Notamacropus eugenii: one gene and its partner. The protein of the gene in region 1 purifies or fractionates together with the protein of each later gene. This does not show direct contact. Links are inferred from orthologs where the notes say so. Each region holds a gene or a part of one and is shown in the gene's direction. Other genes may lie near its edges.

The links.
Region 2: the proteins of DACH1 (region 1) and JUN purify together in Homo sapiens (affinity purification with western blotting; 3 studies listed by BioGRID and IntAct, with this or other methods). This does not show direct contact. The link is inferred for Notamacropus eugenii from reciprocal best matches to the Homo sapiens genes DACH1 and JUN.

What each region holds. Positions count from the first base shown.
Region 1 is NC_092877.1:266,362,238-266,374,636, forward strand, and holds the start of DACH1 (dachshund homolog 1), read left to right. Parts: upstream 1-6,573; 5' UTR 6,574-6,858; coding exon 6,859-7,763; intron 7,764-12,399. UniProt on the Homo sapiens protein: Transcription factor that is involved in regulation of organogenesis. Seems to be a regulator of SIX1, SIX6 and probably SIX5.
Region 2 is NC_092873.1:518,946,440-518,959,126, reverse strand, and holds JUN (transcription factor Jun), read left to right. Parts: upstream 1-7,431; 5' UTR 7,432-8,400; coding exon 8,401-9,450; 3' UTR 9,451-10,788; downstream 10,789-12,687. UniProt on the Homo sapiens protein: Transcription factor that recognizes and binds to the AP-1 consensus motif 5'-TGA[GC]TCA-3'.

The sequences.
Region 1 (12,399 bases):
CCTTTAACTGACTTCAAATGGAACAAATTATATAGGATAGATTGTTGTACCAAGAACCAGACCCTCCCTTTTGTATTTAATAAAGAAGAAAGAGACTCCATATTAATAAGCTTAAGAACCAGACACTATTTAACAGAAACTTTTACCAACAGTTGGGATGAATTTTAATATAACATTACATAAGAATATATTAGTTCATATTTTTCTTTTGTACTTATATAACAGACTAAACAACTTCTCCCTCCATGTTAATTATGTATCTTTTAGGCAAAGTATATACATTGTATCACTATGCCCTATGTCACATATTTGTGTATACACTCATAGGCATCTGTGAAGGAAATCTGACAGATACCAATATATTTAAAAAGAAACATTACAATTTGTGTCATGAATTCCAAAATAAGGGTTTTAAAATACAGGTTGACATTCTGACCTTACTTCACTCTGCTGGGTCATTCTTTTCACACAATGGCCTGCTTTAAAGATGAAGGGCTTTAGTTTCAATTTCAGTTCCTAGAACTGTTTCTTCCTTTTGGTTCCCAACTTTTAACCTTATCTAAGCACATTTACTTTGATATTAAAATTTGCCTGACAACTTTTATTATATATTCAGCAGATGAAATTGTAAGCTCCTTACATTGTGGAAACACTAATGATAGTAAAGTACAATTAAATAATCTTAAGGAGTTGATCAGCTGATACACCAAGGATGTTGTTTAGTCACAAAAAGTTGTCTAGAAAATTTTCTTATCCCACTTTTCCGTTTTGGTTTTACATTCTTAATGTGCACAAGCAAAAATGACTTGATCTGACCATTATTCAATCAGGAAAAAAAGTTACGTACATATATATATGTTTGAGGGGAAGATGAAGAGAAGGTAAATTTGGTATATCTCTCTGTCAGAGGTGTCTATGTAAAAATGGAAGGTATATAGAGACCTATCTCATGAGCCTTTAGTTCCAAGAATTGTAGAATTAGAGTTTCTACCAATATATACTATACATCCATTCACTGATTGTGAAGCAAATATAGGATTAGTTTTAACTTCTTAATAAGCTCTTAATGCAGTGAGCTCTTCAAGTTGCTAGCTATCTTAAGGAGTTTTCACCTTTGGTTTCCTCAATTTCCTCCTTTGGGGCAACTTGGGGGTATTTATAGCTAAACTGTCAGTGGTCTGAGAGAGAATACACCAGGGAGATAAAAGTCTTCCAGTTTCTATTAGTGGTGGGGCCGGGGCAGGGGCGGGGGCCAGCGTTGAGGAGAAGGCTGACCAGAGGGAGGTTCATCGGCTGATGTAGGGAGCTGGGCAAAAAAGCTGAGGGTGAAACAGAAAACTAAGAGTCTTTTGTTTAAATTACTGGAGTTTATCAGGGAAGCTGATTGGTGAGGCAGTGTGTCTAAGTTAAAAAGGCTTGGGAGAGTTACTTGGCATAATTTCTCCGTCTTCAATGATTTAGTACTGAAGTGCAAACATCAATTTTGGACTCTCTCCTGAGAAACATTTAACAAAACCAATGAACTACTGGGACCCTGATACCATTCTGGATTTGCCAAACTTCAAAAGCTGTTTAATAAACCTTGCTCGAAGTTTGTAGCTGGTTATGCTTTTTCTCCCTGTTTAAGAAACAGGTTCGTAAGTAAATATGCAATCCCAGGAACAGAGATGTAAAAAAAGGGTCTTCCTCTTTACCCTCCATTGTGATATATCTTCGAATTGTTCAGAAGTGCACACTATTGTTCAAGCTATTTGTGCCGGGTGTGCTAATGCACTCTTTGATTGAGTGAATTAGCAGTCATAACAATCTGGCAGTCTGGCCATAGAAGTGTGCTCAAATTGATTTGTGTTATGGCTGGACTGGAAAATCGAGTGTTAGTTCTTTTTTGCCCTGGGGCACTCTTTGTACCAAATTCCACTTTTCATTTAATTTTCCAATAGATTTCGAAAGACTGAAATGTTTGCGATCAACATTTGATCCACTTGCATTATTTAAAAAAAAAATCTTGTAAGTAATTTCAAATTCCAAAAACCTTGCTTTCAATTAGGGTAAACATAATTAGAGTGACGTCGTGCTTGGAATGGTAAATCTCCCTTTGTATCTATTAAGCATGTTATCTTGTCCTGTCACTGAAAGGAATTCAGTTTGTATTTGTGTTGTGTATTTCTGTGTGCTGGCTTGACTCAAATACAACTGAGGTGGGAGAAAGACAGAGAAAAGAATGATAGTCATATATCCTTTCTTGCAATTTGAGCGTCTAGTGTCAGTCATCTGACCCCTGAACTATATCAGTTTCACTTAATAATGTTATCAACAGTGGATCTAAGTGTTTTCAAGAAATATTCAGATGTTCAAGAAATATGATCTTGATACACATTGACTTTGTTACACAATCATTTGATTTTCTTTTGTGCTCTAGGAAAGGTACAATTTCAGATGTTTCTCCCTCAGATTTACAAGAAGTTCCAGTGGATATATTTACACACACGTGTGTGTGTGTGTGTGTGTGTGTGTGTGTATTAGATGTCTATTAAAACCTGAGAATGAAATGAAATTATTTACCCTAGTATTTTCAAAATGTGTATCTTTCTTACAATATTCTGCTTTTCAGTCATTTATCAAAATTACAATTAAACATGAATAAACTTTAAAAATGAGTACTCATCTCAGAGAAAGTTTTATGAAATGATTTAGTCAGTTTCCCCACTTGAGAAATCAGGGAATAGTATAGGTCAATAGGTAAAGAAAGAATGAAATATAATAATATACTGATGTATTTCTCTAAAGGGAAAAAGGCAAAATAAATCCAGATGGAATTCATGTTTTAAAACTTAAATATGAACATGAGTATCAATTCAAAGAATGTCTTACTATCTCCATGGCACTCTTTGCTATCATATGTTGCGTGCTGTTATGTTTTCTTTTCTCTGTAGACCTTGTGCTTTGTCGTTGCCCTTTGGAAACCAAAAGGCTGTGCCCTGCACAGGGCTAGAGTGCCTGGAGTCTGTCGTTCAGGAGATATTCGCTCAGACTTGAGGAGCAACATTGTACCGTACACTTTCTGACTATATCTTTCAACATTATAGCAAGTCTCCTCACTGGATTTCATAAAGCAATGATCTCTAGTAGTGTGTGTGTGTGTGTGTGTGTGTGTGTGTGTGTGTGTGTGCGCGGGTGTGTGTGTTGTTTGTTTGTTTGTTAAGTAATAAAACTACAAGACCTATCAGCTAGCTTACTGTTGGTGTAGGTTCTCATTCACCCAGAAATGGTCCCTGGGGAAGGTGGGGTAGGGTAGGAGGAGAAAGGGAGGAGGAAGGATAGTGGGAGGAAAGAGAATACCTGCCCTGAACAGTTACAAGAGTGCAAGAGAAGCTCAGCTTCAAACAATATCCTAGGAAAGAAATTAAAGACTTCTTAATTAGTGCAGCAATTAAGCTTTCTTGGTAGCATTTTAATCAGCACAGGCCCTATCAAAGGACAAACAGAACAATTTGCAGGTCTTTGAATTTTAAACAGTCTTATTGATTTCAGCAGAATAAGTCTTCACTTGACACAGGGAAAATTTTCAAATATCAGTGACTATACTTTGAGCTTAGAGGAAGAGACGATGGGGGAAGAGTGTTTGAAATGACCTGAGATGTAAAACAAACAACCAACCAAAAATACCTTGAAAAGCTATAAGTGAGAGGGATAAAGGGATAAATTCAAGTCCTTCTTAGATTGATACTTCTGCTAAGGACAATTCAAGCTCACTTAATTGTTCCTAACATTTCTCAAGCAAGGCACTCTGAAGATTTTTGCACCCTTCCATAAATATATTTTTATTTTCATTATGCTTAGTTCCTAATGCTATCGTCTGATCAAACAAATGCTACACAATGATGAACCTTTTCAAACTATGGTTTTCTTTCAACTGACTGAAAACCTGAAGATTTTCTGTCTCAGAACTCTTTCAGAAGGGACAGACTCCATAATACCCTACTATATAAAGTAAGCACGTGTTGTGGGGCACAGCTTCCCCCCAACATCATGGGTCCTCTTAGAAGTTAAGGTAAAATGGTGACATAATTGAGGGTCATGCTCTAGTTGCAATCGTTGCCTCGCTTGTATGTTACAGGAATGTGGCATGGTTGTGTATGCATGGTACTCTGAGTTAATGTGGGAAACCAGAGGGGGTAAGGGCAGCTTTTCAACACTTGTTTTGCATTGTTCTCATTTATGGGTAGAGAATTCAAAATGATAGAACTGTGGTCTAACATTTTTCAAAGTAGCTGAAGTTTTTATGGTGACATCAAGCTGTGCCATTATAATTAAAGTTGTGTTTGCATTTCCAATATAAAATCAGTTTTACAAGGGTTTGTAACTTTTCTCCCCCTGTTGAATATGAAATCTGCATTAAATATGTTTTAAAATAAACATGTACTTACTGTTTTTGATATTTTTAAGTGCATATATGTACATATACATCCTCACATTGGTACAAGAATTTATTAGATGAAGACACCTTTGATGACCAAAAGAATTTCAACTTTTTTAAAAAGATAGCTGACGTTTGATACCAGGCAGGACAAACAGTTGTCTACAGATTTAAGATATCCTAGAAAGTGTTGTATATGCTTTCCTTCCATGATGTGGACCAATAAGAAAATTCTGGCGAAATAAGGTACCTTTTTTTTAGGATAGATGTGAGTAGATTTTTGACATAGCTATGTTTTTCAATGCTTTTTGTATTCCCTCAAACAACAACAAACAACAAATTTTCAATAATAAGAAAAATAATATTTTAACTAATAAGACATAGAATTTTCAGTGTATAATTCAACAACATGGACTTACAGCTTTCAAAATATATACAAAACTATAATTTCTGTCAAATGTGTAATGCATCATTTCACACCTTGCAGAATTAGATACTGCGCATGTGTAGAGAAAGCCTAATTATTCAAGATCCACAGAGATATAGACAGAGGATTACATTGTGACTTATGCTATTTTAAATCACCTGTTGGTCAGAGACCCTTTAAATACTTAAATGCAACAGGTTAGCTGAATGTAAGAATAAGATGAATTAAAAAGGTGATTGAGAATAATTCTACCAGTTAATTTTTATATATCTCCACTTTGTTTTTTCAGGTCTGCTATTTAGGGGTGTGTGTGTGTGTGTGTGTGTGTGTGTGTGTGTGTGTGTGTGTGTGTGTGTGTGTGTGTGCGTGTGTGTGTGTGTGTGCGCGCGTGTGTGTGTGCACGTGTGTGTGTTGAGTGTAATTTCTTAAAATTTAGACAGAAAGGATATTCCCATAGAATGAGTTAATTTCGAAAACTGTAAGTTAAAAGAGATCTTTTATCATAACATACCAGAAAGTCTTTTGTCTTTTTTAAACAGAGTAACATTTTGTTGTTGTTGTTGCTGGTATTCACTTGAATTTCTCACAGTTTGAGATCCATAAAGTACATAAGTGTGTACCTGCTTTATATTTAGCTAGCCTTTCCTTTTTGAAGTCAGAGGATCTTACATCTATTTCTGACTGGCAAGGAAACATAGCTAACCTGTGTAAAATCCACATCGAGAATATCTTTTCATTTTTCTTTTCCCCCTACAATCTACTGAAATACAGAGCAGATAAAAAGAACATCTGCTATTATTATGTTAGCAATTTAGATGTCTGATTTCTTCCAACTTTCAGTCTATGATCTGTATTTACTAGCCCAGCTCAAAAAAAAACACAAAAAAACGTACTCACAAACAAGTGACCAAACAAACGAATGAATTAAAATCATACGTTTAGGTTTGCATAGGAACTTTCCCTAAAGTAAACTAAAAGCAAATGCAAACCTTCATAAAGATGTATGGAAGGAGAAAGTGTATGTAGATCTTCCATTTATACCTGATTTTCTTCAAAATCATTTTAATACGTCCTAATTCCTATAAGAAACTGTTCAAAGTGCTTTTGTTCGTCTTTAAGTTGACAGGAGATTGCTTAGATGCGTTTGGAAAATTACATGTCGTCGCGGATGAGATGAAATATGAAACATGTAATCTAACGGTAGTATTAAAAGAAAAGATGATCTCCCTTTCCTTTTTCGTCCCCCTCCCATTCCTCGCCCCCCCCCATCTCCCCGCCGTCTATGTCGCTCTCTCTTCACCTCCCTCCCCACCCACAATCTCTCTCCTCACCCTTTTTCTCCTCCCTCCCTCTCTTTCTCGTACTCTCTCGTTCTCTTTCTCAGTATCTCTCGCTCAGTCTGTGTTTCTCTGCTCCGGGTTCCTGGTTGGATAATTTGGGTTAATACTAGTGAGTGAGGTTTTTGAGGCTTCAAAGGGTATTTCAAGTTTCCGGAGCTCCTCCCCTCTGCACCGTGTGACAACAACAACTCGTCCAGAGAGCAGCCAGCACTTTTCAGCTCATTTTCTCTCTGTCATTCCCCTCTCAATCTTTGATCAATGTACTTGCCAGAGAGAACCGAAGTCCTTCAAACCTCCTCCTTTTCACCTTCATCTTTAACTTTGTGCTAGAGCAGGACCCAAAAAAACAATAGCCAACCCTCCCCCCCTCCCTCCCTCCCCCCTAAAAAAATTCAGCCCCCAATCCCAGCCCCTGGAGAGGACTACTCATTTGGACTTGCGGGACACTTTTGTGCGTGTCTCTCCTGCTTCTCGTTCTTACCCCCTCTGCCCTTCATTCTCCCATTCCTTTCTCTTCTCTTTTCTTTTTTTCATTCTTCTCTCTCTTTCCCCCTCTTTATCTTTCTGGGGATTTTGCTTTCTCTCGTTCGTTCTCCCCCTTTCCTTCCCCTCCCCCTGGTGTGTGGCAACTTTTTCCACCCCCCAATCTCCTTCTTCTCCTCTTATATGTCACCATGGCCGTGCCGGCTGCTTTGATCCCTCCGACCCAGCTGGTCCCCCCGCAACCTCCGATCTCCACTTCTGCCTCCTCCTCCTGCACCACCACCTCCACGTCCTCGGCGACCTCCTCTCCGGGTCCCTCCATCGGTCCCCCGGCGTCTTCAGGGCCAACCCTCTTTCGACCTGAGCCCATCGCGGCGGCGGCGGCAGCGGCAGCGGCGGCGGCGGCAGCGGCGGCGGCGGCGGCCACGGTCACCTCCACCAGCGGCGGCGGCGGCGGAGGCAGCGGCGGCGGCGGCGGCGGCGGCTGCACCAGCAGCAACGGAGGCGGCGGCGGCGGCGGCGGCGGCGGCGGCAGCTGCAACCCCAGCCTGGTCACCGCCAGCAGCACCAGCAGCAGCGGTAGCGGCGGCGGCGGCGGCGGCGGCGGCGGAGGCACCTCCAACCCCAGCCTCAACGTGAGCACCGCCAGCTGCGGCAGCAGCAGCAGCAGCAGCAGTAGCAGCAGTAGCAGCAGCAGCAGCAGCAGCAGTAGCAGCAGTAGCAGCAGCAGCAGCAGCTGCGGCAACCTCCCGGGGAAACCAGTGTATTCGACCCCTTCCCCAGTGGAGAACACCCCCCAGAATAATGAGTGCAAAATGGTGGATCTGAGGGGGGCCAAAGTGGCTTCCTTCACGGTGGAGGGCTGCGAGCTCATCTGCCTGCCCCAAGCTTTTGACCTGTTCCTAAAGCACTTGGTCGGGGGCTTGCACACGGTCTACACCAAGCTGAAGCGGCTGGAGATCACGCCGGTGGTGTGCAATGTGGAACAGGTTCGCATCCTGAGGGGACTAGGGGCTATCCAGCCCGGGGTGAACCGCTGCAAGCTCATCTCCAGGAAGGATTTCGAGACCCTCTACAATGACTGCACCAACGCAAGGTAAAGGGGGGTAATCCCTTAGCACCCAGCTCCCTCTTAACCACCCGCCTCCGCCCCCCTCTTTCTCGTCTTTCAGTCCTGCAGCCTCACCAGCCCCACCGAACCTCGGCACTCACCGAGTCTCTCTTTCCTTTCAGTGGTATTGTTGACAAGCCTGACCAAACTGAACCTCATCCAGTCTGTCCTGAGAAGTTGGAAAACCCATTCTCTCTATCCTGCGCTTACTTTCTCCCTTTTCCTTTTCCCCTCTCTTGCCGGTCCCATGCCCTCTCTCTACTCACCAGTAAAATGTTAAACTCTGTGTGCAGGGGAGAGTGGGCGGGGGGGGGGGGCAGTGAGTGCTTTGAGTGTTGAGGGACTTGGGAGAAAGGGGAGAATTGAGAGGAAGGGGCTGGGCTGGAAGCGTGGAGAACATTGAATCTTGCGGGGAAACTCATTCCTCTTCCAGTTTGCTAAAACCTGAGAACACCTACCTTGTCTCACCTCTGCCCTCCCACCGCGTGGAGTGAGGCTCCCCAAAGTCAGGCACTCCGGAGTGCGAGTCTCACTGAAGTGTGATTTTTGTTTGTTGCGGAGCGTGTTTCCAACGGGTGATTAAGATGAGGTTGGGGGAGGTTGTGAAAGGGGAAGATGCGGAATCCAACTCGAGGCATCAGGTTTTCCCAGCCAAGCAAATGGGCTGGGGGTGGGGATGGGGTGCTGGAAAGATGGGTTTCGGAGTAAGGGATGAGAATGCGGGGAGTAGTCTCCCTCCCCGTGGTGAAGCTAAGGAAATATGGTCCCGGGATAACACTTCAAAGTCTAGGGGCACACTGTTTTGGCGTCTGAGAATTGACCCAGTAATTGAACTATCAGTGTCCCATTTCTCCAGGGTAAATTTAGCTACAGCATATAAAGGGGAGGGAGGAAAGAGATACGATTCATATTCTGGAGTGTGTGTGCGTGTGTGTGTGTGTGTGTGTGTGTGCGCGCGCGTGTGTGCAAGTGATTGCCAGAAAGGAAGGAAAGTGGAAGGAAAGTAAGGCTGTTGCCATGGGGCAAAAGAGACTCAGCAGGCTGGTTCTCTTCTGGTGGGGTGGAGTTCCAGATACCGAGGCTTAACTGACTTGGGGAGAGGAGAAAGATGCCAGGTCCCTGCTCTTTCTGAGGTCGGTGGCTCAGTGAAGAAGCAAGTGCGGGAGTTGGGCTCGAAGGTGCAGTCGAGTTCCCAGTAGCTGCCTGGGAACCGAGGAGTGCCTTGGCTGTATTAGCCACGGGTCCAGTTCCAGAGCTGTTTCACTGTACGTCTGCGTGCTCGGAGGGGCAGGATTGTACCGGGAGGGGGCGGGAGAGGGGCAGCTTTTAGGGATCTGGAGATTGTAGGATCCTGGATCGTTCCTCAAACCTTTTGCCAACACACACACACACACACACACACACACACACACACACACACACACACACACACACACACACAACCTCTCTGGCACTGCAGCTCATCTTTTGTCCCATAGGAACGATGGAGCAAAAGTCAAAACCTAGAACAAATAGAACAAAATAGGAAGGGTGTAGTGAAAGTTAAGAGTTTCGTTTAGAGATGACAAGGGCAGACGAGAGGGAGGGAATAACGTGCATAACTGCCCTAGAAAAATCAAATGCTATTGAAATAAACGTGAAGACCAGAACAGAGAGGGCTCTATCTGCACATGTAGCTGATTAGGACGATAGGCTGGGCTGGGCGTGAAGGTAAGAGTTATTTTAGGAAGTAACCAGAAAGGAAGAGCTCCCCTGTTGTCCGAAGGAATGAGAACCGGACTCACAGACTGTCAGACTTGCATCTTAGCTGGCTACCTTGAGGGTAGTGATAAAACTCAGAAGATGAGAACCTTGTGGTGGGGAGAGGATCCTCTTAGCAAACGTCTCGGAACTGACTGGGTGCAGATATTCCCTTTCTGGTAGTTATCTGGGAATCAACATACAGGTCCCAAATGTCGAAAAAGTCAAAAAAGATTAAGTTGCAACATGTAAGAACAAAGCTTTGCCGCCTCCTTCTCCCCTCTTTTACGTTTATATTTTTTTATGAGACATTCCTTATTCTACTTGTTTCTGTATGCTTATCTGGGTGAGTATAAAGAACAGGTGGCAGTTAAAGGACTGAGGTGGGGGGGTAGGGATAAGGAAGGGCCTTCATTGGGATAATATGGCCAGGAGAGAAACATTTACTAATAACTTACAGATATCATTTTGGGGGCTACTTGTCTGAGTAGGAAACTCTTAAATGGTCTGTTTGAAAGAATGACAATTTTTATTTGAAGGAAGTTTAGAGATAGATGATCAAGTCTGTAATTCTTTGCAGGTACATTTTCTTTTAAAGTAAATCTTATTGTTGAAAGTTCAGTATACTTCGATTCAGTAAACAAACAGCAAGTCTAAGTTCTTTCTGTGTATTACAGCACAAACTGTACCAGTAAATCAAAGGTCACTTTCCATTAAATCTTGGTTAAGAACACTTTCCTTATAATATAAAATGATAAATATGCCATTTAATTGCTCACTTAAATAATTATGTCTTTCTCGTTTTCTTCAATTTTGTTAGTGTTTGGAACTGAAGTCTTTGTCATGGCCTATAAAAAAAAGCAGCCTAAGTCAAAATATTTTAAGAGTTTCTGCAGAGGTTAAGAATAGTTCTTAAGTTTATCATCAGAATGATTCAGTGTGCTTTAAAGGATAGATGCCCCAGAATTGAAAGACAAGTTCAATCCATTAGATCACATCTTTAGTTCTACTTACCACTTCAAAAATATCTTATCATCACCGTGATTATACTGTTGTCATCTGGTATTAATACTTTAGTTTGCAATTAAATGTGATGTTCCACCAAGCTTTCCCAGGTGATTTTCAGTTTGAAGATGTATTGGTTGCCTCCCTTGATACATTTTGATCTTTTACTTAACACCATCCTATGCTTATATTAATATCTGTAGCATACAAGCTCTGTCACCATTTGTTCATGAGATATTTTGCTACTGAGATTTCCTAATTCAACCAGGGATTCCAGAGCTTGGAGGTCTAGGGCTGGGGCTTGCAGTGCTTTATTTTGCCACAATATGCTGTCAGAACTATAATAGTGTGTTATTTAAAATCAATATGACATTATGTTTCCTCTGGAATAGTTTTAAAGAAGTAAGCACAATTTCTTGTGTCTAAAGTTTCAAAACTAAAACAACTCTTTCCCCCTAAAAGGTAGTTTAGCACCTTGACAGTAGAAGCATTAATTTCCTTGCCTTGAATGCTTATTTTACTCATCTGGATTTTAGTTCTCTTGTTCCTTGTCCTTTATGTTTACTAAAAAGAAAAGAAAACCCTTTTTGGCTTATAAAAAGGAAGAAACAGCACAAGTCAAAAAGGACTGCATTAGAAGGCAACTTAAAAATGAAATAATGTCTATTTTTCCAATCTCAGTAATCACATGCTTTTATAAAAGCAAATGTAATTATCTATTGGCATACCCTGGAAGATATCCCCAGTGTTCATATGGGTAAACTGAGGAATCACAATATTAACTTACCCAAAGTCATTCCACAAGTTATTAAGAAAGTTTGAATGGAATAAGATTAATCTCCTTGGTTTGACTAAGTGTAGTGTTTCTTAATAGCAAGTAAATGCTCAGTTAGTTGGTTATTACCATTAAAAGCAAACAAAACCAAAAACAGAAGAAAAGGAGGGGATCAAGAGGAAATCACCTATGGGTTAACCAGAGCTTACAGAAAGACTTCAACATGGGATGGAATTCAGGGGGTGTAGAAAATGCAGGAGAATACATGTAGAAGTTGTCAAAGGACAAAGGCAGACCTTGATCAGTTTCCTCCAATTATTTATTAAACTAAACATTAAATGAATGAGCTTGGCTGTTGCAAGGGAGGTTAGTTAATGAACTAGTAACCATTAAAAACAAAGTAAGCCATCAGTAAATCACTTATTTGTAGGTCTAAGTTAGAAATGTCTTTTACGTGTATTCATGTCATAGAAAAATTTTTATTCCCTTTCACATGAAATTCTGATTTCTGGGTCTTGGTTGCATTGAGTTTTTTATTTGTTTTCCCTAACACCAGATTGCGATTCAGGGTACAACACAGGAGTTGCTGAAGTTGGTTTAAAGATTTCACTCCCTTGAGTAGAGTGAATGTGTGTGCACTTCCATTCAAGCCTTTCACTATTTAGAATTTGTAGACGATACATATTTATAGTGCTGTATCTATAGATGAAGTATTGCTATAGCTCTTCATTTCATCTTAGGAGTAGATTCAGTGAATAGATGACAAAGTGAAAGATTTCCCAATATTGTATTCTTTTAAGGAAACTTTTCTTTCTAAAATACATTATGAATTTATTTGTTTTAGAAAAACGAAATGTGAGACACTGGGAAAACATGCTAGATTCCCAGATTCCCTCTTTTTAGGGAGCCACTACCTTTTTTGGCATTCTTTAATTAACTGGTCTGCTGAGATACCAGGTATTTATTTAGGATTTCATTCTTTGCTTATATGTCACAGATTTGAGTTTCATTATAGAATCTTTAAAATAAAACCATTCCTCAACTCCACAAGGTTTATACACACAGGTAAGCCAGTTGCAGTACAAAGATAGCTTTCCCATG
Region 2 (12,687 bases), on another chromosome or scaffold:
AGGCATTCTAGCTGCAGTTATCTAGTAAAAGAAAGTTGTTAAGTTTTGTTCGTTTTTTTTTTTAAAATACAACATAATGCAGGTATATTATGTGGAGAGGGGGGAGGTGGATAAAGAAGATCATGAAGTCCAGTGAAGGAAGGAGCGTTCCAAACTTGGGACGTTGGGGCAGGCTTCCTGAAGGGAGGGGCCTTTGAGCCAGGCTTCCCAGGGAGCTCCAGAGTCATCACACACACACACACACACACACACACCCCGCCAGGACATTTTAATTGTATAATGCGCTGATTCACAAAGATTTTTGTTCATTGTTATTATGAGGAAAACACTTTGCAAACCTTGAAGCAAAAATAAGTAAGGAAGAAAAACAGGAAGAGAAAGAGGGAGAGTTGGAGAAAAGCCGGTCTCCGAATCGTGCCTCAAGCCCGTCTTTGCTGGCCCTCTCTATAGGTGTCTCTGCATGAGGGCAGAGACTCACCTGAACTCTGAAGTGTTTCCAGATATTCTAGTGACTGTTTAATAAACCCATAGTTGTTCCTTAAAAATCTCATCTACAGGGGCAGCCAGACGGCAAAGTGAGTAGAGCACCAGCCCTGGAGTCAGGAGAACCTGAGTTCAAATTTGCCCTCAGACACTTGAAACACTTACTAGCTGTGTGACCTTGGGCAAGTCACTTAACCCCAATTGCCTTGCCTTTCCTCCTCCATTAAAAAAATGTCTATAAAATGGAGGTAATAATAGCACCCATGTCACAGCGCTGTTGAAAAGATCAATCAACAAGAATTTATTAAGAAGTGTCAGGCATAGTGTTGGGGGGCCTGACCGTCTAATGGAGGAGACAGGTGGACACCACAATGCTGCTCTTTAGGGAAAAGAAGCTTTCTTTTCTGGGTCATTACATTACAGACTCTCAGAGCTAGAAGGGGACCTGATGGACATTTCCTCTGACCTACACCTAAGAAAGAAGCCTGCCTCTCAGGTCTCCCACAGATGGTTGTCCAGTCACCACTTGGAAGGACTGTGGATGGAGAACTTCACTCAGCTGAGGAAGCCCAAACCTTCTGGGGACAACTCAGGTCGGTAGAGAGCGTGTTTTTCTTTAACAGTCACCTTCAATCTGACTCTTGGAAACTCTGCTCCCAGTTCTGCCCTTGGCTTTGGGGCCAACCAAATACAGCTAACCCTTCTACCACCGGATGGCCTTTGAAATACATGAAGACAGTGTGTTTTTTCCCAACAATGCCTCACCACCCTTGAGTTTTTCTCTTTTCCAGGCTGGGGAAAAAGTTAAAAACAAAACAAAACAAAAACCCACCTTTTTTCAACTCAGGAAGTCAACAAGGCATTTAGTGAACTCCTGCTATATGCCAGGTCATGTGTTAAATGCTGGAGATCCAAAGAAAGGCAGAAAACCGTCCCTGCTCTCCAGAAGCTACTCATCTAACAGAGCACACAACAGGCAAACAAGACAAGCTCGGGATAAACTAGAAACAGAGGCAGAAAGAAGGGAGCTGGAGTATGGTAGGTGTTGGATGGGGCATTCCCTGCTCCTCCACCATCCTGGTCGACCTCCTCTGGACACTTTCCAGTCAAGCAATGTCCTACCTAACTTGAGGTAGAAACCTAAAGTCTTCTATTTCCATTCTCCTCCTGTCCATCTTCCTGTGTCTCAGGACTCACACCACTGTCATGAGGGCAGTTTGAGAACATGGGTACAATGCTGACCTCCCACACTGGGCAGCTAGGAGATAGGTCACTCCTGCCTCAGCTTCTTCCATGGTAAAGTAAAGCAGTTGGACTCAGTGATTTCCATAGTTCTGGCTAGCTCTGATATTCCACCATTCTTCGCTTTCACCAAACAGGGAACGAGACACGACCACATTGAATCAACTGTAAGTTCCCTTCTGACTCAAAATCAATAACTATCCAAGGCTTCTTGGGACAGGAATCTTCCCAGGAAATGGGACCTAGCTGAGCATCAGAGGGAGAGGGCAGAGAGCTACCTGAGGATAAGTATGGAAGTATGTCATAGTTCTCAGTAATTTATGACTAGCATAGACCTATTGTTTTAATGAGAGGACACTAGCTGACTCACCTACCACCATCTTCTGCTGTCACATTGGTGAACTCTCAAGTCAAGAAGAATAAAATAGTCACAGATAATCAAAGACTAGAATCTATATAATACGTCTGCATTCGGAATGGGTGATCCTAGATAAGCTACTTAACTGGTCAGGGCTCTTGGTAACCCTCTAAGACTACAGAGAAGATTGTGGCTGTGGTTCTGTCATTTTCCAGTGGTGTCTGACTCTCTGTGACCCCATTTGGGGTTTTCTTGGCAAAGATACTGGAGGGGCTCACCATTTCCCTCTCCAGTTCATTATACAGATGAGAAAACTAAGGCAAACAGGGTGAAGTGACTTGCCCAGGGTCATATAGCTAGTGAGGTCAGATTTGAACTCAGGAAGATGAGTTTCCCTGGTTCCCAGCCCAATGCTTTTCTCTACTGTGTCACATAGCTGCCCTACAGAGAAGGTGCCACCCTACACTGGCAGATTTTCTTATGCCAGTCCCAGGTGTACAGTCCCAATCTCTATAAAGCACTTCAGGATTTCTAAAACACGTTCCAAGCATTTATCTCATGTGAGTCTCACAATAATAGCAGCTGCTATCTCTATCTCTTGTATCATCCCGCTGCCTTTTGATCTCCAGCATTCTAGTGCGTATTTATGGAATCCTAGGATATCAGGACTGGACAGGGACCTTCAAGGTCACATAATTCAATACCATAATTTTAGAAAGGAGGAAAGTGAGGCCCAGAGGAGGAAAGGGAAGGCAACTGACTCACCCACTATCCTGCAACTAGTCAGTGGCAAACTGAGGATCAGAACTCTGGTCTCCAGACTTCCACCTCAGAGTTCTTCTCCTCTTCCCTTCCCCCACCCCACGTCATTGACAGGGTCAGGATGTGGAACCAAAGCCTTCCCCTGGCCAGTCCTGCCAACCACACCAGAGCTCCACTGACTTCTCACCTACTAACCTGTTCTCCTGATTCCAGGGAAAACAGACCTTGTACCAATGACACTACACACCTTTCTACTCCCTTTTCCACCACTCAGATGACTCCAGACAGTTTCTAGACACTGTGCTGTGTGGACGACAGATACTTTGACCACACTCAAGGGGCTGGGATGAATGGGAGAAGAAAGGGTGGGGAGGGGAAAGGTACTGGAAGGAGGTCAGGTGCTTAGAGTTCTAGGTCCAATTCTGATGCTGCCTGACTGGCCCAAACCACCTACCTTAAGTGACCTGGGGCAAGTCCCTTCTCTGGTTTCAATTCTCTCCAGGTAAGATGAGGTAAGAATGGGAAAGGGGTGGATTCCATGTTTGGGAACCAGGGTTCAATCCACAGCTGACGACTGGGATACAAAGAAAAAGCAAAGTTCCTCCCTCTGAAGGTTTACATTTGAATTCAGGGAGACAAAGTATTTATTAGAGGACTATGAATGGTAGATAACTGAGAAGGGAAAGGACTTAGCCGCAGGGAGACTTAAAGGAAAGCTTCCTTCCCTAATGAAGTCTCTGATTCAAATCCAGCTTTGTCACTTAGTGTCACTGCCTGGCTTGGGACAACTCTGGTTTCCAGTCCCCTTATCTGTAAAATGGCCCGTTGATAAAAAGGTTATTTATAATAAAGAGGGGCAGCTAGGTGGCATCATAGGGCATAGATCCCCAAGCCTGGAGTCAAGAAGACTCATCTTCTTGACTTTAAATCCAACCTCAGACATTTACCAGTTGTGCGACCCTGGGCAAGTCACTTCACCCTGTTTGCCTCAGTTTCTTCATCTCTAAAATGAACAGAAGGAAATGGCAAGCCACCCCAGTACCTCTGCCAAGAAAACCCCGACTGAAGTCTCAAGGAGTGGGGCATTACTGAACAACAAAGCCCTACATAAGGATCCCTCCCATCTGCATATTGACTTAGAAAACCACAAATTAACATTACCTATGCTTTATTGTGTTTCTAGATATTTTGTTAAATAGTTCCCTGGTATATTTTAGTCAGATTTGGACTCCATTAGGGAGTATTTAGAGCCACCTACAGAGCCACCTGTGACCCACACAATGGGGTGATTGTGAGGATTAAATGAGCTAACTTGTTCTCCCCCACTCCTGGAGCATTCTTCCTTCTCATCTCTGCCTCCTGGCTTCCTTCAAGACTCAGACAATATCCCACTTTCTGCAAGGAGCCTTTCCTGATTCTCCTAAATGCTCCTGCCTTTCCTCTGTTGATTACATCCGATTTGTCCCTTCTATAATTTGTTTGTGCATAGTTGTCTGTATGTGGTCTCCCCCATTCAATTAGTTGCTCTGTGAGGGCAAGGACTGTGTAGATATTGCCATTGGGTAGTGCAGTGCCTGGCACATAATAGGAGCTTAATAGATATTTTTTGACTTGGCATGACTGCACATTTTAAAACGATATGTCCATGCTAGCTATGTTACTGAGAACTATGACATACTTCCATACATATCCTCAAATTTGAGTCTCACAGAAACTCTATAAAAAGGCAGAAAAAAAGACTTTTGTCCCGCTTTTACCCCTGAGAAAAATAATACCCAGAAAGGGAAAGTTACTTTCCCTATCAAAGGATCCTAGATTTGGAGCTAGAGCAAAATCCCTTGGAGTTTAATCTCATCATTGGACAGTTTGAAGAAATTCAGGAACTGTCTTTTGCCTCTTTTTTCATCCCAATCAATTGGCACAGTGCCTGGCACAAAGTAGGAGCTTAATAAAATGTTGATTGACTTGTCCCAAGTCTCAGGGTATTAGGTATTGGAGACAAGAACAAAAACTAAATCCTCTCACTCCAAAGACCCTGACGTTTTCTCTATATTATTTTGTACCTACATCCAGCCGGGGTCTTCACTACATATATTGATGGACACTTCCTAAGCTCTGGATGCTAAGTCTCTACTACCTACGCTATCTCCTCTGATACTAATCCCACTTTCCCTTTTCTTTCCCCCAAAATACAGACACCTAAGGAGGGTCAAAAAGACCCAAGTTCAAATCTTGCCTTAGGCACTTACTAGATGTGTGACCCTGGGCAAATCTCTTAAGCTTCTTTTTGACCCAGTTTCCTCGTAGGGTTAGATAATAGCACCTGCCTCCCAGTATGGTTGAGAGGATCAAATTACCTAATATTTGTAACTGCGTTTTACAAACTTCAAAGTGCTATATAAATTTTAGCTATTATTATTAACAACTCGATTAGCAATCCAGTGACGTAGGCTCTTTTAAATACATATTTGTTAGCATTTGTATATCTGTGTGTGTATGTGTATGTATGTATATATATACGCGCGCACATACATACAGAGAGAGAGAGGGAGAGAGAGAGAGAGAGCGCTAGGCTATCAGTCCGGAAAAACCTGGATTCAAATCCCACCCGCTAACTACAGACAGCCGACTTCTCGAAGCCTCCGGCTGTCCTAAATGAGTTTCGATCTCCCAACGTGGGTGGGCGTTAAGGAATTCCCACAGCTTAGCAACCACTGCTGCTAGGAAGGCTGACCTGGATTTGAGGAAGGCCCTGTACGAATACCCAGCCAGGGTTTGGAATTCGAAGGTCAGAGTTCACGGGATAATGGAATCCATCCTGAGATTAGAATCTACCAGCCCAAGTGGGAATCCTGGCTCGGTCACTACCTTACGATGTGACCTCGGACAAGCCACTGCCCTTCTCTCGGGGTCTCAGTTCCCCCAGAGTAAAATGACAGATTTTGGTGGGGGAGGGCTGAAATGGATCTCAGAGGTCTCTCTCTCACTTTAGGAATGGGTCCAGTGAGATTCAGTGAAACGATGATGATACGTCATTCATTAAATGATACTATGTTGCTATTAATGTTACCAGATGTTACTTAATATCATTACTAATAAAACAATTTCTCTAGATGTCTAAGGTTTGCAAACCACTTTACAAGTTAACTAACTGGATCCTCAAAACGACCCTGTGCTGGGAGGGGGGCGCTATCTATTCCCCCCAGTTTTACAGGTTGGGAAATGATTCTCCTAAAGTCACACGGCTAGTAGCAACCTGGGAAGGGATCTGAAGATGGGGGGGGCCGCTCCAAGGCCCTCTAGTTCAGTCCCCCCTACAACTTCCCCACCTTTTTACAGATTAGGAAACTGTCTCTGAAAGGTTAAACAAGCATTTATTGAACGCCTACCGTGTGTTAAGCAATGGGGCTACAAATACAAGGTAAAAGGCAGTCCCTGCCCTCAAAGGGTTCACCTTCTGGGGGTTCTGGGGAACAACGCACAAAAGGGGAAGGGGCGAAAATAAAGGCTCGGCCCCTTTTTTATGTTCCCAGCGCTAGCGACAGAACCTGGCATACAGTAGGCGCTTAATAAAAGCACATGGCCTTCAGTGAGTTGCTCAGGGTCACAGAGTAAAACTCGGACCCTAGGTCTTCCTCCCTCCCCTGCCTGCCCTGGGTTCGAATTCCTCCTCCGCTGCTTTCTAGCTGTGGCTCCGGACAAGCCCCCGTTTAGGGGGCAGGGGTAGGGCTAGACGTCCTGGGGTCCCCCCTGCCTCAGTTTGCTCATCCGCCCAGTGGGCCGCCCTGCCCCCACCGCGGCGCCGGGAGAAGATGCTAGCGCGCTCGGCCGCTCCAAGCCCGGACACTCCGAGGCGTTCCCGGGCCCCAACTTCCCTGGTACCCAAGTTTGTTTGCAGTCGCTGCGAGAGGAAGGGAGCGGATCTCGCGATACTTCGCCCCCCCGCCTCCGCTCTCCCTCCGGCTCCCCGCCCCTAGGGACCGAACCACCTTCAGGGCGGTACCAATGAGTCCCAGGGCGTGGGGGAAGGCGGCGCGGAGGCAAGTCCCTGAAAACTTCAGGCCGAGCGCATTGGGAGAAGCCCCCCGCCCCCCGCGTCCGCGGACGGAAGAAGAGAACTGATACTCCCTTGTCTCCGCCCCACCGCCTGGTAACGGCCCCCGACCCTCGGAGCGTTCCCGCCTTTCCCTGCCCCCACCCCCACCGAACCTAGAACTTGAGCCCGCCTCCGCCCCAGCCGCCAGACCGCCGTCACTAGACAGTCCAACCCCAAGACGTCAGCCCACAATGCACCGGGCGGGTCGGGGCGGGCCGGGTAGGGGAGGGGGGAGCGCTGGGAGAAAGAAGGGCCCGACTGTAGGAGGGCAGCGGAGCATTACCTCATCCCGTGAGCCTCCGCGGGGCCCGGGAGAAGAATCTTCTAGGGTGGGGTCTCCATGGCGACGGGCGGGCCCTCCCCCCTGAGGGCGACGCGGGCCAATGGGAAGGCGCGGGGGTGACATCATGGGCTATTTTTAGGGGGTGACTGGTAGCAGATAAGTGTTGAGCTCCGAGCTGGAGACGGGCTCAGAGTTGTACTGAGAGTGGCCGGGAGAGCCTAGGCTGAGCGGCGCGGGACGGGCAGGCAGGCGGCAGGCAGGCGGCAGGCAGGCGGCAGGCAGGCAGCAGGCAGGCAGGGGTCCCAGGCAGCCGCAGCAGCCGCAGCAGCCCCCGATCCGATCCGGCCGGCCCGTGGGCTCCCGCCGGGCGGAGCAGCGCAGAGGAGCGCAGAGCAGCGCGGGCGCCCCGAGCCGTCCCGCCAGGACCGTCCCCCTCTTGTCTCTGCCGCTGCCCGAGAGCTCCAGCTCGGGGGTCCCAGGCTCGCGCCCCGGCCCCCGTCGCCGCGCACGCCCAGCTCGGCCGAGGGGCCGCTGCCCCGCACGCTACTTTTCCCGGAGACACAAGTGGTTCTCGGAGCCCGCAGCGAACTTTTGACGAAACCCAGCGATCCGGAGGCGGGCGGAGGAGAGCGAGGAAGGGGCTGCCGCTGCGGCCCCTGACCCGAGCCGCGCTCGGGAGCGCAGCAGCCGCCCTCCGCTCGCTGCCAGCCCGGAGGAGGCGGGGACCGACGCCGCCAAGGACTGGGATTTCGGGGGGGTCCGGCTGACCTCCCGTCCTCGCTGTCCTTTCCACCCCCCCGGCCGGGCTCCCTCGCCCGTGCCCGGGAGAGCCGCTGTCACCCGCTTGATCCAGCCGCCGGCCACTCACCGAGACCGGGGGACGCCTCCAGCCGGACGCACCATCGCCGCCACTTTTCAAACGGGAGCCGAGGAGCGCGCGCGGGACAGCAGTCAGCGGAGTGAGCGCGCCTCGTGGCCGAGCCCGGAGGGGGGCCAGCTGGGCTCGCGACCCCCTGGCTGAGTTGGGGTGCTGAGCTCTCCCCAGGCGAACTCCGGAGCGCGCCCCTAAGCCCGCCTCTCCTTGCTAACTTTGCGAGTCGCGGCAGGCGGGCGGACAGACAGACGGACCGACGGACGTCTAGGCTCGGCCAGCTTGGAGGGGACCTGCTCTGTTCTATGACTACAAAGATGGAAACTACTTTCTACGACGATGCCCTCAACGCCTTCGTGCAGCCGGAGAGTGGCGGCTACGGCTACAGCCACGCCAAGGTGCTAAAGCAGAGTCTGACCCTGAACTTGGCTGACCCGGTGAGCAGCCTCAAGCCCCACCTGCGCAACAAGAACCCAGACCTGCTGACCTCGCCCGACGTGGGGCTGCTCAAGCTCGCCTCCCCGGAGCTCGAGCGCCTCATCATTCAGTCCAGCAACGGGCTCATCACCACCACGCCCACGCCCACACAGTTCCTGTGCCCCAAGAACGTGACGGACGAGCAGGAGGGCTTCGCGGAGGGCTTCGTGCGCGCCCTGGCCGAGCTGCACAGCCAGAACACTCTCCCGGGTGTCCCCTCGGCGGCTGCCGCGCAGCCCGGGAACGCCTCCGTGGCCGCGGGCATGGTGGCTCCCCCCGTGGCCGCCCTGGCGGGCAGCGGCGGCGGCGCCGGGGGCTTCGGAGGCTTGCACAGCGAGCCCCCTGTCTACGCGAACTTGAGCAACTTCACCCCCAGCTCCGCGCTGGGCAGCGCGCCCGCTTACAGCAGCGCCAGCGGGGGGGCCGGGGCCGGTGGCAGCAGCCTGGGCTTCCCCTCGCAGCCTACGGCCCCGCAGCAGCAGGCGCAGCAGGCGAACCCGCAGCCTCCCCTGGGCCCGCAGCTGCCGGGCGTGCAGCATCCCCGGCTGCAGGCGCTCAAGGAGGAGCCGCAGACGGTGCCCGAGATGCCCGGCGAGACACCGCCGCTGTCCCCTATCGACATGGAGTCCCAGGAGCGCATCAAGGCCGAGAGGAAGCGAATGAGGAACCGCATCGCTGCGTCCAAGTGCCGGAAAAGGAAACTCGAGCGCATCGCCCGGCTGGAGGAAAAGGTGAAAACTTTGAAAGCCCAGAACTCGGAGCTGGCGTCCACGGCCAACATGCTCAGGGAACAGGTGGCCCAGCTGAAGCAGAAAGTCATGAACCACGTGAACAGCGGCTGCCAGCTCATGTTAACGCAACAGTTGCAAACGTTTTGAGCAGCCCTGGGAGACAAGAGACGGACTTGGTTGGACTGACGCGTTGGTTGCGTTTGGAAGGGAGAGACAGGCACAGCAAAGTGTCAGAGAAAAGATAGATCAAGCTGACCCGTGTTGAGCCCCGGACTGGGCCGCCCCCTCCCCGCCCCCCACGCACATGTCGGGGCGGGACTGGCCAAGCCTTAGGCCTTGAGCTAGTCCGGAGTGGCCAAGCCCCCCGACAGTACCGTTTGGCAGAAGGGATGGCCCCACCCCCACCCTCCCTGCCGGACCCGGAGGGCAGAACCTGTCAGCTCCATGTTTAACATTGACCAAGAACTGCATGGACCTCTAACATTCGATGATCATTCAGTATTAAAAGGTCTAAAAAAGAAAAAAAGAAAAAAAAAAACTCCATAGAGACCTGTAGTTTGCTTCTGTAGTACTCTTTAAAAAACTGGGGGGGGAGGGTTGGGAGGGAGGTTTCTTAAGAGAAAAATAAAGGGGGGGTGGAAGGGTAAAGAATACCATGGACTCCACTTGCCTGCCTTTCAGTTAACTGTGTATGTATATATCTATTTTTTTTATTTTATGAAAGCTGATTAATGTCAATAAACAGCTTCATGCCTTTGTAAGTTATTTTATGTTTTGTCTTGTTCCGTTTGGGCCCTACCAAGCATTGTTTGTAAATAAGAGATTTGGAACACTCTGGGTATATTTACCCTTTGTAATAAAGTATATAATTTTTTTATGCTTTTTGTTTCTGAAAATTCCAGAAAGGATCTATTATATTTAAGAAAATACAATAAACTGTTAAACTATTCTACCCCCACCCCACCTTTTATGCATTGTATAGCTTTTAGTAGTCATGGGGATGGGGGTGGGGCAGAGGCTGGGTTTTAAGACTTGAGGGCTTCCTTAAATTTCCCTCTTCGAAAAAGTGCTACCTGCTTTGAGGACGTGGGGACCAAGCAGCCACCCCTTTACTGTGGAAAGACATGTGCCTGATGAGTATAGTACTACCAAAGTGTTTTCCCTTTATCCCTCCCCTCCCCCTCCCCCAAAGATTCCCACAGGATTGTTGATGAAACTGACAACTCCGAGCTTTCAAGGATGCAGCCTTGAAGTGTAGGATTGTATCCAAAGTCATGTGCTGTTACAGCTCCTGATGCGATTGGCTCTTGGACAAAAGCTGCTCCTCTCCAAACCGGTCCTAGACCCGGGAAGGTACGAAGGGACGGGATTTACTCCAAGTGGTGTCTCCTCTTTGTTGAATAATCCCTAGGTTAAAAAAAAGTGATCTTTGCTTATGAATATGACAACACTGTTGTCAAAATAAAATCATTCACTAACCCTTTAGAGATTGTGACTTTCTTTCCCTTTGAACTATTTTTTTCATTCAACCTACTGAGTAAATAACTTCTAGAATTGGAAGGGCTGAAGTGTCGAGTGTTTTACAGCAATCACCTAGCCAGCTCTCTAAAGCTGAGAGGTAAAGGGGTGAAGAAATCCCAGCAATAGTAACTGGTATTTTCTATAGCAGTTTATGATATATGGGGCACCGGTCTTAGGAAGGTAGCTGTAAATATGGCCTGCATTTTTGTGGAAACTGAGGCCCACAGAGAGGGGAACCAACTGACCCAGGGTCACAGAGCCCAAACGCTTGCTCTAACTCTTTGAGCTAGACCAGCTGCCTCCCAAGGTAATGTTAGGAATGTAGCTCACCTGACATTGTCATAATACATTTAAAAAGCAACATTTTCAAAGATATCTTAGTGTTCCCCTAATTGGCCAAATTCTGGTACCCAAGAGGAGAAAATAATTGTTTATTTTTTTCCTGAAACAAGCACCCATGATATCTCGGGGAAGTCAAGTTTGCTGGTATTTTAGAGGTTTCCTTGTTTGAAATTTCTTAATTAGCTTTTATTTACCATTATATTATTAAAGGACTAATTTCATATAATAATCATCTGAATGCCTTGGAGCTGGAGAATCCTAACAAGTAATGAGGATGATTAGGATGGAAATTACAACTCAGCTTTGGGGTTAAACTCGAGCTTTGTCTGCTGGGAGATAAGATAATAAAGCTGACATTTAACTAGAGGGCTTTAACTGTAGTGAAATACGTTATGTACATCATCTCATCTGATCTTCTCAATGACCAGAGGGTCATGGAGTCATAGATCTAGAGTTAAAGGGACCTGAGAGGCCAATGAGTCCAATTCTTTTTGAATGAAATGTTATCCCCATTTTATGGATAAGGAAACTGAGGCTCAGAGAAGGTCACAAGGCTACAAAGTATGAAGCAACACAAAGAAAGGGGACTCTGCTTTTCTCCCAAGACTCATTTGGATTATCTCAAACAGTAAAAGTGATAGATATAGAACCAGGGATATATTTTATAAACTAGTTCTGAAATATAAGACAACGCTTTGTTTACATGAGTTGGTTAGATCCTTACAATAAATCTTGTGAAGTAGTTTGGGAGGTGGGTAGTGAGTGAACATGTTATCATCCCCATACTACAGATAAGGAAAACTGGCTGTGATGAGGAGAGAGAAAGAGATTGGCTGGTGATCACATGAGTAGTAGTGTTGAGCCAAGTTTCTAACGTACATTGCCTGGCTCTGACTCTGGGACCCTTTCCATTTTAGCAATAGATGAACATTTCTCTATTGCTTTAAGGTGTACAGAAGATTCTTTTCCCTGTATAAAAGCCCTGTAAGGTGGCCAAGTACACACAAGACTATCTGATTTTTGCAGATGAGAACTCTGAGGCTGGAGAAAGGGGCTGACTTGCTACATGTCACACAGCTTGTAAATAAGAGAAGACTATGTGCTTGCTACTCCAGAAACATCAGGTTATAGCTCTAGAGTTAGAAGTTAGGCTGTCTAATGCCTAGTCCAATTCATTTTACAAATAAGGAAACTGAGGCCTAGGCAGGTTAATTGAGTTCCCAAAGGTCACACAAGCCAATCAACAAGCACTTATTAAGTAATTACCATTCCTCAGACGCTGGGCTAAACCTAAATTCACCAAGATAGACAAAAACATAATCCCTGCCTTCAAAGATCTCATAGTCTAAAGGGGAGACTATGAAAGTAGTGTAAAGAAGGGAGGAAAGGAAGATTTAAACCCAGAGCCCTCTGACTAAATGGCATGCTTTTCCCTCTGTCTGGCACTGCCTACCTACCTCTATCACTGACTGTCCATGTAACTTTGGGCAAATCACTTCCCATCTCTGGGCCCCAATTTAC